Xenopus tropicalis: one gene and its partners. The protein of the gene in region 1 purifies or fractionates together with the protein of each later gene. This does not show direct contact. Links are inferred from orthologs where the notes say so. Each region holds a gene or a part of one and is shown in the gene's direction. Other genes may lie near its edges.

Evidence for each region.
Region 2: the proteins of csk (region 1) and tns2 purify together in Homo sapiens (affinity purification with mass spectrometry; 6 studies listed by BioGRID and IntAct, with this or other methods). This does not show direct contact. The link is inferred for Xenopus tropicalis from reciprocal best matches to the Homo sapiens genes CSK and TNS2.
Region 3: the proteins of csk (region 1) and tns3 purify together in Homo sapiens (affinity purification with mass spectrometry; 4 studies listed by BioGRID and IntAct, with this or other methods). This does not show direct contact. The link is inferred for Xenopus tropicalis from reciprocal best matches to the Homo sapiens genes CSK and TNS3.

The regions. Positions count from the first base shown.
Region 1 is NC_030679.2:94,042,842-94,046,496, reverse strand, and holds the end of csk (tyrosine-protein kinase CSK), read left to right. Parts: intron 1-708; coding exon 709-904; intron 905-1,742; coding exon 1,743-1,829; intron 1,830-2,422; coding exon 2,423-2,605; 3' UTR 2,606-3,484; downstream 3,485-3,655. UniProt on the Homo sapiens protein: Non-receptor tyrosine-protein kinase that plays an important role in the regulation of cell growth, differentiation, migration and immune response.
Region 2 is NC_030678.2:147,549,853-147,553,032, reverse strand, and holds part of tns2 (tensin-2), read left to right. Parts: intron 1-36; coding exon 37-168; intron 169-322; coding exon 323-415; intron 416-1,030; coding exon 1,031-1,108; intron 1,109-1,371; coding exon 1,372-1,449; intron 1,450-1,537; coding exon 1,538-1,703; intron 1,704-1,783; coding exon 1,784-1,852; intron 1,853-1,979; coding exon 1,980-2,009; intron 2,010-2,906; coding exon 2,907-3,048; 3' UTR 3,049-3,180. UniProt on the Homo sapiens protein: Tyrosine-protein phosphatase which regulates cell motility, proliferation and muscle-response to insulin. Phosphatase activity is mediated by binding to phosphatidylinositol-3,4,5-triphosphate (PtdIns(3,4,5)P3) via the SH2 domain.
Region 3 is NC_030682.2:58,935,588-58,939,777, forward strand, and holds the start of tns3 (tensin-3), read left to right. Parts: upstream 1-1,357; 5' UTR 1,358-1,583; intron 1,584-4,190. UniProt on the Homo sapiens protein: May act as a protein phosphatase and/or a lipid phosphatase. Involved in the dissociation of the integrin-tensin-actin complex. EGF activates TNS4 and down-regulates TNS3 which results in capping the tail of ITGB1.

The DNA.
Region 1 (3,655 bases):
CTAAATGTACAAATTATATTTTATGTCCATAGTTCCATATTTGTGCCTGGGTTAGACAATTAGGGCACTGTATTTGTTTGAAGCTGCAAAATTAAAGCTTGTTAGACATACTTAACCAGCCCTTGTAGAACCGCAAAATCATCTAGTAGACTGCAGCCCACTTTGCACACAAGTGCTTAATATGAAATGCCACCAGTTCTTCAAATGTAGCATGCTTTCCCAAGCTGTAGATTAAATATAAGTTTTGTTTCTAATTTTGAAGTTTTAAAAATGTACAAAAGAACTTACTGGCATGTTGTATTTAGTGATACCATTGTATTTAAATATGAGGGACCCTTCACTGTTCCTTTAAATATGGAAACGTAATACATTTATGGAACTGTTAAAAAATGGAGTAGTTATACTGGATCTCCTAGGGCCTGACAGTACATCCAGGTAATGTAGTAGTTGTTAAACAGCTGTGGTGCAAATAAGAAAAGCTTGGTTGAAATCTTGGTAGCTTTGGCCCCACCAAACAATTCTTTGGTACTTGCATACCAGCAGATCAAAGATTAAGGGGTTTTTACATAGATGGTAGTTGATATCCAAGGGGCTAGTTTTAGCAAGCTATATATTACAAACTTACCTAAACTGTATGAACTAACTTCACTGTAGATGCCCAATCAGACATTGAATTTTAGGTGTTTTCTTTTTCATTGGTCCCTGCAGGGATGTATCAGAAGGTATGGCATATCTTGAGAGTAATAACTTTGTGCACAGAGATCTAGCGGCACGCAATGTGTTGGTATCAGAAGAAAATATTGCTAAGGTCAGTGACTTTGGACTCACCAAGGAAGCATCCGCCATACAGGACACAAGCAAACTGCCTGTTAAGTGGACAGCACCAGAAGCGTTGCGGGATAAGGCAAGTGTAAAATTGCCCTCCATTACAAGTTTTCCGTATTAAGTTATAGTATTTGTGCCATATAATTTAGGACAAAGTACTAGGGTTTCCTTTCCAAAAAAAAGCTTATGGCCAAGGATTCCATTTTTTGGCAATGTACAGTAGAATGTTTGGGAGATTAAGGGAACACACATTATGAATTTTTGTAGCAAGAAGCTTAGGTTCAGTGTGTTTAGTGCCAGTGGCTGGAATAATGTCTTGCTTTAAATGTTTGCTATCAGCTCTGCTGTGTTCTGCCATATTTTAGGGCGAAGACACACACAACGATTAGTCACTACAACTTTTTAAAAAGTGTGGCAACTAATCCACAAAGTGAAAACCCACGCGCGATTAGTTGCAGTGACTTATACAGTATCCTATGGTGGGAAAGTAGCCGCGAACGAATTTTTTAGAAGTTGTGGCGATTAATCTTTTTAAAAAAAAAAAAAAAACATTTTAATTAAAAGCTCTTTCTAATTAAAGCTCTTTTTAGAAATTATGCATATATTGGGTGAAATCAAGAAATGTCAGAAAAAAAGTGGGGATAGGGGGGGCAGAATTTCCAAAATCTTCTCCAAAGTACTGACAAAGTATACAGTCGCAGTAACATATATTCAGTATAGTGTGTTGTAATTTAAAGGGTAAAAAACACTATTTTTCCATAAAAGTTTAACACAAGAATATTTTGAGTAGATATTCTCTTTGCATTGTGCTGTTTCTTTGGTTCTTGTTTTTTGGAATGGCAAATCCAATATTTGAATTTCAAGCTTAATGCTGTAATAAAGGTGCATTACTAATTATACATATGTTTGCTTTACAGCTATTTTCAACCAAGTCTGATGTTTGGAGCTTTGGAATTCTGTTATGGGAGATCTATTCCTTTGGGCGAGTGCCTTATCCACGCATTGTAAGTAACAATACAGTTTTGAATCCAGTCAATTTATTCACTGGGCAGAGTTTAGTTCATACACCACTCATTAGATTTAATGATTGATGTGACTCATTTGAGAAAGTGAAAGCCTTTATTATTTTGTATATACTGTATAACACTACAGTATCACAGCCCAGGCTGCGGTTGGGGAAGCAATATAGTCACTAACAACCAAGCAGGATTTGCCTGGAATTGCCAAGGATCACTGATGTACACAGACATAATGTGACCTGTGTTATGTGAGCTGGAATAGAGCAAGGGCCACTTGTTGGATATGCACATATCCTGTTATGGCTACATTTGGCAGGGTTTCATGGCTGACAGCAGATCCAGATCCAAAGCCTGCCTGGTTGCAACAGTGAAAATATTGTTCCCCACCCTGCTACTCTGGTGAGTGAAACATGTATGGGGGGGGGTTGCCCTATTCATTAATTACTGATTTTTTTTTTTTTTAATACACTTTATCATATGAATGCAGGCAGTTTGGATTTTACAACTTTACAGTGTTTCTATCATAATTAATGAATCTTCTAATCATGATTTCTTAAACTCTGTTTCCTTCTTCTTAGGCCCTCAAAGATGTGGTACCAAAGGTGGAGAATGGGTATAAAATGGACGCACCCGATGGATGTCCTCCTGTTGTATATGATTTGATGAAGCAGTGTTGGCATCTGGACCCAAAACAGCGACCCACTTTTAGGAATCTGCGAGAACAGCTAGAGCATATCAAAGCGAAGGAACTGTTTCACTGAAGCAAGTGCAAGGCTAGGGGTCCTCTGTCACAAAAGAGCCATTCCTTGGCCTGAGAGACAGACTCCACAATATCAGGAATATGAGATATAACACCAGAAAGACTTCAGCACAGTAATAATTACTTATTGGGCTCTCTTGACCTACCTGTCTTGCACTAGCTACCACCTTAGTGCCCATAAAATATTCTTATAATCTGCTGGTCTGTGGAAGGATGCAGATGTTTCCTTACATTGATTTTTGCCAAATCTCTATTTCTCCCTCATATTTTAATTGCCTGTTTTGGGTGGGCCTGAGAGACTTCATGGAGATCAGCTGAGAACTTCTAATTGGAAAATATTGCCTTGGCTTTGGACACAATTAGGTGGCAAATGCAACAATCCAGTCCAGTTCCGTTGCCAGTTGAACAGATAAGGATACATTTTACAGACTGGAAAATTCACTTCTGTATCTTGTCTGCCTTATTTAATACGGTTAATCTTAACCAATATACAGAGCTGACTATGAGAAGAGATTTCTGCTGTGAAAATTTGGGATCCTTATCGTGGTGTGACACAGTACATGTTGACTTCTCATGTTTTCAATCTCACGATTGCCTGCCTTTTTTTTTTTTTTTTACACACATGCTGCTGGCTTAATTCAACAGTATTGTGTATCCTCAAGGATAAACGAATTCCCCCCAACCTGAGAATGTAACTACTGTATTATATACAGATACTTTTGTGTCCTAATACCCCCTGTAGGCTCATGTTAACACATGTCCATAAAACAAATTCACTCTACAGGATGAAGAAGAAAATGATTGCAGACCTTTCTACTCATACAGCCTCTTAATTCAATTCTACATTTCAAATAAATCCAATGCTAGTGCTTGCAGGGCACAGGGTTTCACACCACTTCTTGACGGTCCTGTTATCAGTCGTAATTCTTACGAAGCAGTTGCACATTGGTCTGCACATTGCAGGTTTTGTATGCTTTATTGTGTTTCTGGTTTCCAAATCCTACTGGACATTCCTGCAGGTTATTCTTTCAGCTCTCCTTATTGATCTTTT
Region 2 (3,180 bases), on another chromosome or scaffold:
TAAAGCTACTTATTCTCCTTATATTTCCTCTTTCAGCTATTGCCATATTAAGAGGTGCAGAGCCAGGCTCCTTCCTTATTCGGGACAGTAACTCATTCCGTGGGGCATATGGTTTGGCACTGAAGGTCGCCAGCCCTCCTCCAAATGTAGCAGCGCAGCCCTATAAAGGTAACATGCTAGTTAGAGCTGATGTTAGATTAGCCACGGGCAACCTGGAGCTTCAGCAACGTCTGCAGGGCTGCAGGTTGCCCAACACAACAATGAACTATCTATGGAGTGTTGTTCGATTTAGTTATATTCTAATTCCATTTTTGTGCCACAGGAGATTCTACGGAGCAGCTGGTTCGCCATTTCCTCATTGAGACTGGACCAAAAGGAGTGAAGATAAAAGGATCACCAATTGAACCCCATTTTGGTAAAATGACTGCTTCTATTATGATTATTTTATGAATCAGCGCATAATGCCTTGATAGTCCAGCTTTTTAATCTTTAAATGACCATACACTGTCTGGCCAATCCAGGCCAAGTCTGTACCTTAATGGCTGCTTGAGTATGTGGCCAATATAATGTCCTGTATGACTATCAGACAGGTTTGAAAATCTGAAGGTCAATCAGCACAATGTTTCCTTCCATCCATGTGGCCAAAGCAGGAAAAGTTGTACTTGTCTGGCAACCTTGCAGATCTTCCTGTTTATGGTCAGCTTTAGGACGTGTGCTGATATGGGACGGCCTAGTTGGTCCATTTAAACAGGTCCATTTCACCATGATCATCTGCTGTCAGATAGGTAAAATAAATCCTGTTAGGGCATGGAACGTGTAAGCGATGATGCAGTCTTCTCCTGACGGCCTGCATTGGCCTCTGCTATTATCTGATTGTAACGATCAGATATGCCTTATATAGACCAGGACAAAGGTGACCAAATAGGGCAAAGATCTTGCCAAATGTGTGTATATTCAGGCGTATGACCACCTTTAGTCACCAAACTAGACTTTGTTAGAATCACTGCTAATTTGTGTTTCATTTATTTAGGCAGCCTCTCCGCCCTGGTGTCTCAGCACTCAGTCACCCCACTCTCTTTGCCATGCAGACTTCAGATCCCTTCCCGTGGTGAGTAGGATGCAAAGTCTTGGGGCACATTTTAAGATATGCAATTTATGTACAGTATTTTCTGCCCTCCCCTTGCACTATTATGGAATCTTGACACTCCCTACTATTGCCCACTATTGAGTTGTGAAATTTGGGGGTTTTTTTCAAGTCCCTTTCTCTACTGGCTTCTGCTGGTGCAAAGTTACGCCATTGATTAGAAGGAAATCCTGTATATTTTAGGAATAGCAAAGAATTAATCTTTGGCTGAATCTTCTCTTTCCCAGATCTGATAGAGCAGAGCTCAGAGGTCATGGTGCCTACAAACATGAGCACAGCAGCAGATTTATTGAGACAAGGAGCAGGTAAGTGGCTTACAAGCAAGATGAAATTAGGGGTAGATTCTGAATCAGAATGGATCCAACTTCATTCTTTGTGTGGCTTTCCTTTTAGCATGCAGTGTGCTCTACCTTGGCTCTGTGGACACAGAATCTCTAACTGGACCCCAGGCCATTTCCAGAGCATCAAATGCCATCCTGACACCCCCACGGTCCAGTGCAACTACGGTCCATTTCAAAGTGTCTGACCAGGGTATCACTCTTACTGACAGCCAGAGAAAGTGAGTCGGGCTTATGTTACAGTGCTTGTAGCGCTCAGTGGTATGATGTCATGTAACTATGATAATTTCATGTGTTCCAGACTGTTCTTCAGGCGTCATTATCCTGTTTCTAGCGTAACATTCTGCAATAGCGACCCACAGGATCGCAGGTACCCATTCAGTTAGAATCCTATAACTGTACTAACAAAGCACCTAGAAAATATCTAACTGCTCATTAGTTAAAAGAACCATAGAAAATTCTGACTACAAAGAACTTATTTCCTAATATTTTTGCAGGTGGACCAATCCAGACAGGACAACGTCGAAGTATGTATAGTTTTATTTTTACTCTGGCTTTGCAATTGCTTCCCATCGTAATGTAGTCAATGCAGGGCCTTCTTTATAATGAGAGGAATATGCAGGCACCTTCAGTTAGGGCATCTAGACAACATGTTTTATTGGAGGCCAGAGGAAGCATGGATAAAAACTGGTCTCCAGAAACATTGCTGTACTTATTGACATTGGGTGCAAAGTGAACCCTGGAGCTACTGCCTGGTCAATAGGTGGCACTAGCTTTATGGTTCCCCTGCATCAATAGTCTGTTTGGAATGGAAGGCAGGAAGGAATGAGCAGCATCGAGCTTGCTTATGTTTTCTTGCTCTCTAAAATAAATCAGCATTCGACATAACAAAAAATACATTTTCTGCCATTTAAAGTCCATTTATCATTATTAAGACACAGCTCCATCATCATCTATTGAGGAATATTTCCTCATGCCCTTGGAATTGGTTGGTTTATCTGTTTGGCACCTTCCAGCTTCTAAACAGTTATGTAAATGGTAAAAGGCTTGTTTGGTGTTACTGAGCAGTAGCTGGAATAGAGTAGCCCCCAGACTGTGCATACTCCTGCTGTATAAAGCAGAAACAGAGTAATGGATCTATATTGGTTGCACAGGAGTAAGAGGGGGCCCCTTTCCAACTAGATGGCTCAAGTGTGAGAGCACCAAGGGGCACAAGAAAAACAGCACAGAGTGCAGAGAGCAGCACTGGCAGATATGTGTCCTTTTGGCCTTTTTCTCATTAATAATCCCTAAGATGAATAACTCAGAAAGCAAAAGTGCCTTGTTTATAGCCCTCAGTCTCACTGATTGGCTGTTGCACAAGCTGCCCCATCTGTTTCTTCTTTCCCTGACTAAAGCCTTCTTTGTTTTTTTCCCCATTGCAGGGTGTTTGGTTTTGTGGCTCGAAAGGCGGGCACTGCAGCTGAAAACGTGTGCCACCTTTTTGCAGAACTGGACCCTGAGCAGCCAGCATCAGCCATTGTTAATTTTATCACCAAAGTCATGCTGGGAGCACACAAAAGATAAACAATAACTTCTTGAATGGGAAGGAACTCTGGGGAAGGAGCCTGAAGGTCAGAGAAAGTCATGTGGTGGCACCTAGATGTGAGAGCGATTTGTGGATAGTGTTACTCCCGTAACCCAGTTCTGCTGGATCTT
Region 3 (4,190 bases), on another chromosome or scaffold:
ACTCAGAGGGCCTGACCTTTGTTTGTATAGAAGCTTCATTTACTTTGTTATTCTGAGGAACTACTAAAAAAGAAAGAAGAAAGTTGCACATCTTCCAACATTTGAAAAACTAAGAGAGGGACATAGTTAACTGTTTTGAGTAGTGGGGCGGTGCATATTTTAGCCACACCCAATGTGTAACCACACCTCTTTTTACATGTTTGGAAAAACAGACACAGTGGTGGTCTCTCGAGCATTTCATGCAGCAAGCTGGACTCCACCTACTCTCTAGGCAGCCATGCTTTATATTGTATGGGGAGTGAGGTCAAAGTCTCAGCTTGTGGGGCTTTGATGGGCTGACAAGAAATTGGGACAATAAAGTTGTTGCTGTTATGGCCTCGGTTAGCAATTTCAGTAAACTTTTTTCACTGAAGAAAAATTGTTCCCATTAATTTCCAGAGGAAGATGTGTTACATCAAGGCCAGAGTTGTAGGATCCATATTGATAAGCATATTAATGGCACCAACTGGCAGCTAAACCCAAGTAGCAGACACCAGACCAGCAGCCCCCACTTTATAAACTAATGTAAGGAGCAGAGCGTAACCCCCAGAATTTCCCCCCTAAACCCACTGCATACACTGATATGAGCAGTAAACCCCAGATCAGTGGCCCTGCAGAATGCACTCAAGTAATTAGCAGAACCCAAACTAGTGGCCCCCACTACATGCACCGATGTAAATAGCAGATCCCAGAATAGTGGCCCCCCACTACATACACTGATTTAAATAACAGACCCCAAACCTGTAGCCCTCTGCTGTATGCAATGATGTAAGTAGCATACCTCAACCCCTCCATATTAGTAGCCCTTGCTATGTGTATTTGCATATGAATAGCAGACCCCATATCTATGACCCCTGCTGAATGCATTGATATTGATAGCAGACCCCATACCTGTGGTCCCCACTACATACACTGATGTAAGTAGCAGACCCCAAACCAGTGGACCCCACTGGATGCATTGATGTAAGTAGCAGACCCCAGTAGTCAGACTTCAAATTAGTGACCTCCTTCCTATGTGCACAAATAAATGGCAGTGACAATTGAATAATGGTTTGTACTAAATGTAACGGCCACTTTCTGCTTCTCATCTCATAATAATATGTTATGAAATGCAGCCTACCTCCAAGGCACACTTTGTTTTGAGGCACGAAGAGTGAAATAGCAGTGAGTGAGATTGAGCAAGGGAGGAGGGAACAGGAGAGTCTGGCTCTGCTTCCCTATACGAGGGGGTGGAGGACACTTGTTGGAAGTGCCTGCTTGGGGGCAGAAAGGAGGAGGAACACAAGGCTGCCCAGATAGACGTGTGATTACACGGTAGTGTTTTAGAAAACTCCCGAATCTAACAAGGGAAATCAAAACAAGAAGCACTAATTTTCATTTCTCTACAATGTACGTTGGAGTTATCCTAACTGGACGGAGCTTTGTGGATTTCCTGATTTAAAGAACTAAATATTTCAGCACCTCCTTCCCAACCTGGCTGATCATTTACAGTGCTCCAATCTCCATTGCCTAGAGCAATTCCCAGTTCCAGCTGCTGGTTTAAGGTAACATGCTGTTGTTTAAAGTCATGCCCTAGGTTAGGTAGTGCAGGGAGAGAGACTCATGCCTCGGCAGGGCCTGACCTTTGTTTGTATAGGAGCTTCAATCACTTTGTTATTCTAGGGAACTGTTAAATTCCTGTGTGGAAAAGAAGGAAGAAAGTTGCATACCTCCCAACTTTCGAAGAAGATATTGGGCCCCCCGCTGCATGCGTAGATATGTGTAGCAGATACCAGACCTGTGGCACCTACTGCATGCAGAGATATGAGTAACAGAATCCAGACCAGTGGTCCCAACTGCATTTATTGATATAAATAGCAGACCCTAGACCTGTTGTATCCGCTGCATGCACTGATGAGGAAAGGACCAGTGGCAGCAGCGGCACACACTTATGTAAGTAGCTGACCATAGACTTATGCATGCAGTGGCCTCCACTGCATGCACTGATGTAAGTAGGAGACCTTAGACTAATGGCTCCCAATGCACTGCTGTAAGTAGCAGACCCCAGGCCAGTGGCCTCCCCAGCATGCACTGATGTAAGTAGCATACCCCAACCCCCCCTACACCATATGACTAGTCCTCCTATGTGTATTTGGATATGAATAGCAGACCCCAGACCTGTATCCCTGCCGCATATGAGGCCAAAGTAGTCAGACCTCAGATTAGTGACCCCTTCCTATACACACAAATAAATGGTTATCACATTCCTATGCCAATGGTACCCCAATATCAGAACTCAGATCAGAGGGGGGCATGAGGTAAAGGAGATGTAATCAGTGTGTGATCAACAAAGGAATGTGGCAGCTCCCCATGGTAATGAAATGTAAGAAGTTAGCCAATGTCTAGATAATGTGCAGGCAATGATCTATATAATCTATAAATCCAACAAAACAGAGGGGCATGCTATTTTATAATATAAAATACTTTTTAAAATAATACTTGGTGTTTTACACTATGGGAGCGCATTCCAGTTTTGTTTGCTTTATAATATGAAAGTAAGCACGCACCCAATACACTGACCACACCAGGTTTATTCCAACATTGCAACACACATCATATTTAGGATGAATCCGCTTCACTTTATGTTTTATTTGTGTCCAACAAAGGTTATTCTGCTTAAAAATACAGTGCATCCTGCAATGTTAAACCTGTTAATTTTTACATCTGTAGTGTGTCTCCTTTCATACATTTTGTGAACTGCACAAGTAATTTAAAGTAAGCTCACAATGACAAACAAGGCTATGGCAAAACAATGCAACAATGCTCTCTTTTTAAATTCTAGCACTAATTATTATGTAATATATAATATGATGTTTTCATATTATTTACATGCTCTGATTAAATATCATCCTAATTTGTTAGTTGGCAACTTCTGTAAAAATTTGCTCATTTGGTGATATTGCCAAAGGGCCAAGTAGTATCACTAACCTTCTATTGCTGATAAAATATCCATGCAGTTCAGGAAAGACAACTAAAGCCATATCAGTAGTCATGAGTGAATCTGTCCCATTTCGCTTTGCCGAAAAATTCGCAAATCTTTCGAAAGATTCGCGATACGGCGAAAAGTTCGCAAAACTGCGAACATGACGCACGTCAAAAAAAACCGTCGGCAGCAACTATTTTTTTGTCGCCACGGCTATTTTTTTGTTGCAAGGCTATTCTTTTGTCGCCTGCGGCTATTCTTTTGTCGCCTGTGGCTATTCTTTTGTCGCCTGTGGCTATTCTTTTGTCGTCCGCGGCTATTTTTTTGTTGCGCAGCTATTTTTTTGTTGTGCGGCTATTCTTTTGTCGCCCGTGGCTATTTTTGGATGCTCGACGAATTTTTCCTCGGCGAATTTTTTCATCGGTTTCGCGAAACAATCCGCCAATTTGCCGCAAATCCAGACTTGCTTACATAATAGAGCTGCGGCTCTACATTGGATCCTTGGAGCATTGCAGGCAACACTGCTAGTAAGATGGGTAATGCTGGTTCACACAACTAGACACACTGAACTATTTTATGTTTCATTTCTCCATTACATCACTGAATGGAAGGATAATAAATAAACTCTAGCAGTCAAATCTTTGGGAAACCCAAAGGGGCACATTTACTAAGCAATTATGAGATAAAGTTGGATTTTTTCTCACTTCTAGATAATTTCGAGATTTACAAGTGGGTTTTCACCAGAACTCGTTTTTTTTTTTTATTATTCCCAGAAAAATTTGAGTTGTTCTAAAATAACCCCCATAATTTGAGTTATTACTGTTTAGTTAACTTTTTTGTAAAATAAAAATTTAACAGGTTTGATCTGTTGAGTACCATTGAGTCCTATGGAGGCTTAGAATAGTCCCCTCATTGTTTTCCGTTTCACCCAGCTTCAGAGGGGAACTTAATCCTCTCACTGTTTTCAGTTTCACACCTTTAAAGGGGAAGTTAATCCCATAATCCCATCGCTGAATTTTTTATATTAATATTTTATTTGTGCTGTCTTTCATGTTCATTGTGACCAGGTCAAAACCCAATAAGGCACATTTACAAACACGACCACAACTACTCCATGCAAAAGCAGATGCAAAGTTATGTGTATATCTGTACCAATCATAACAGGTACCTGCACCGATTTAGCTCCCTT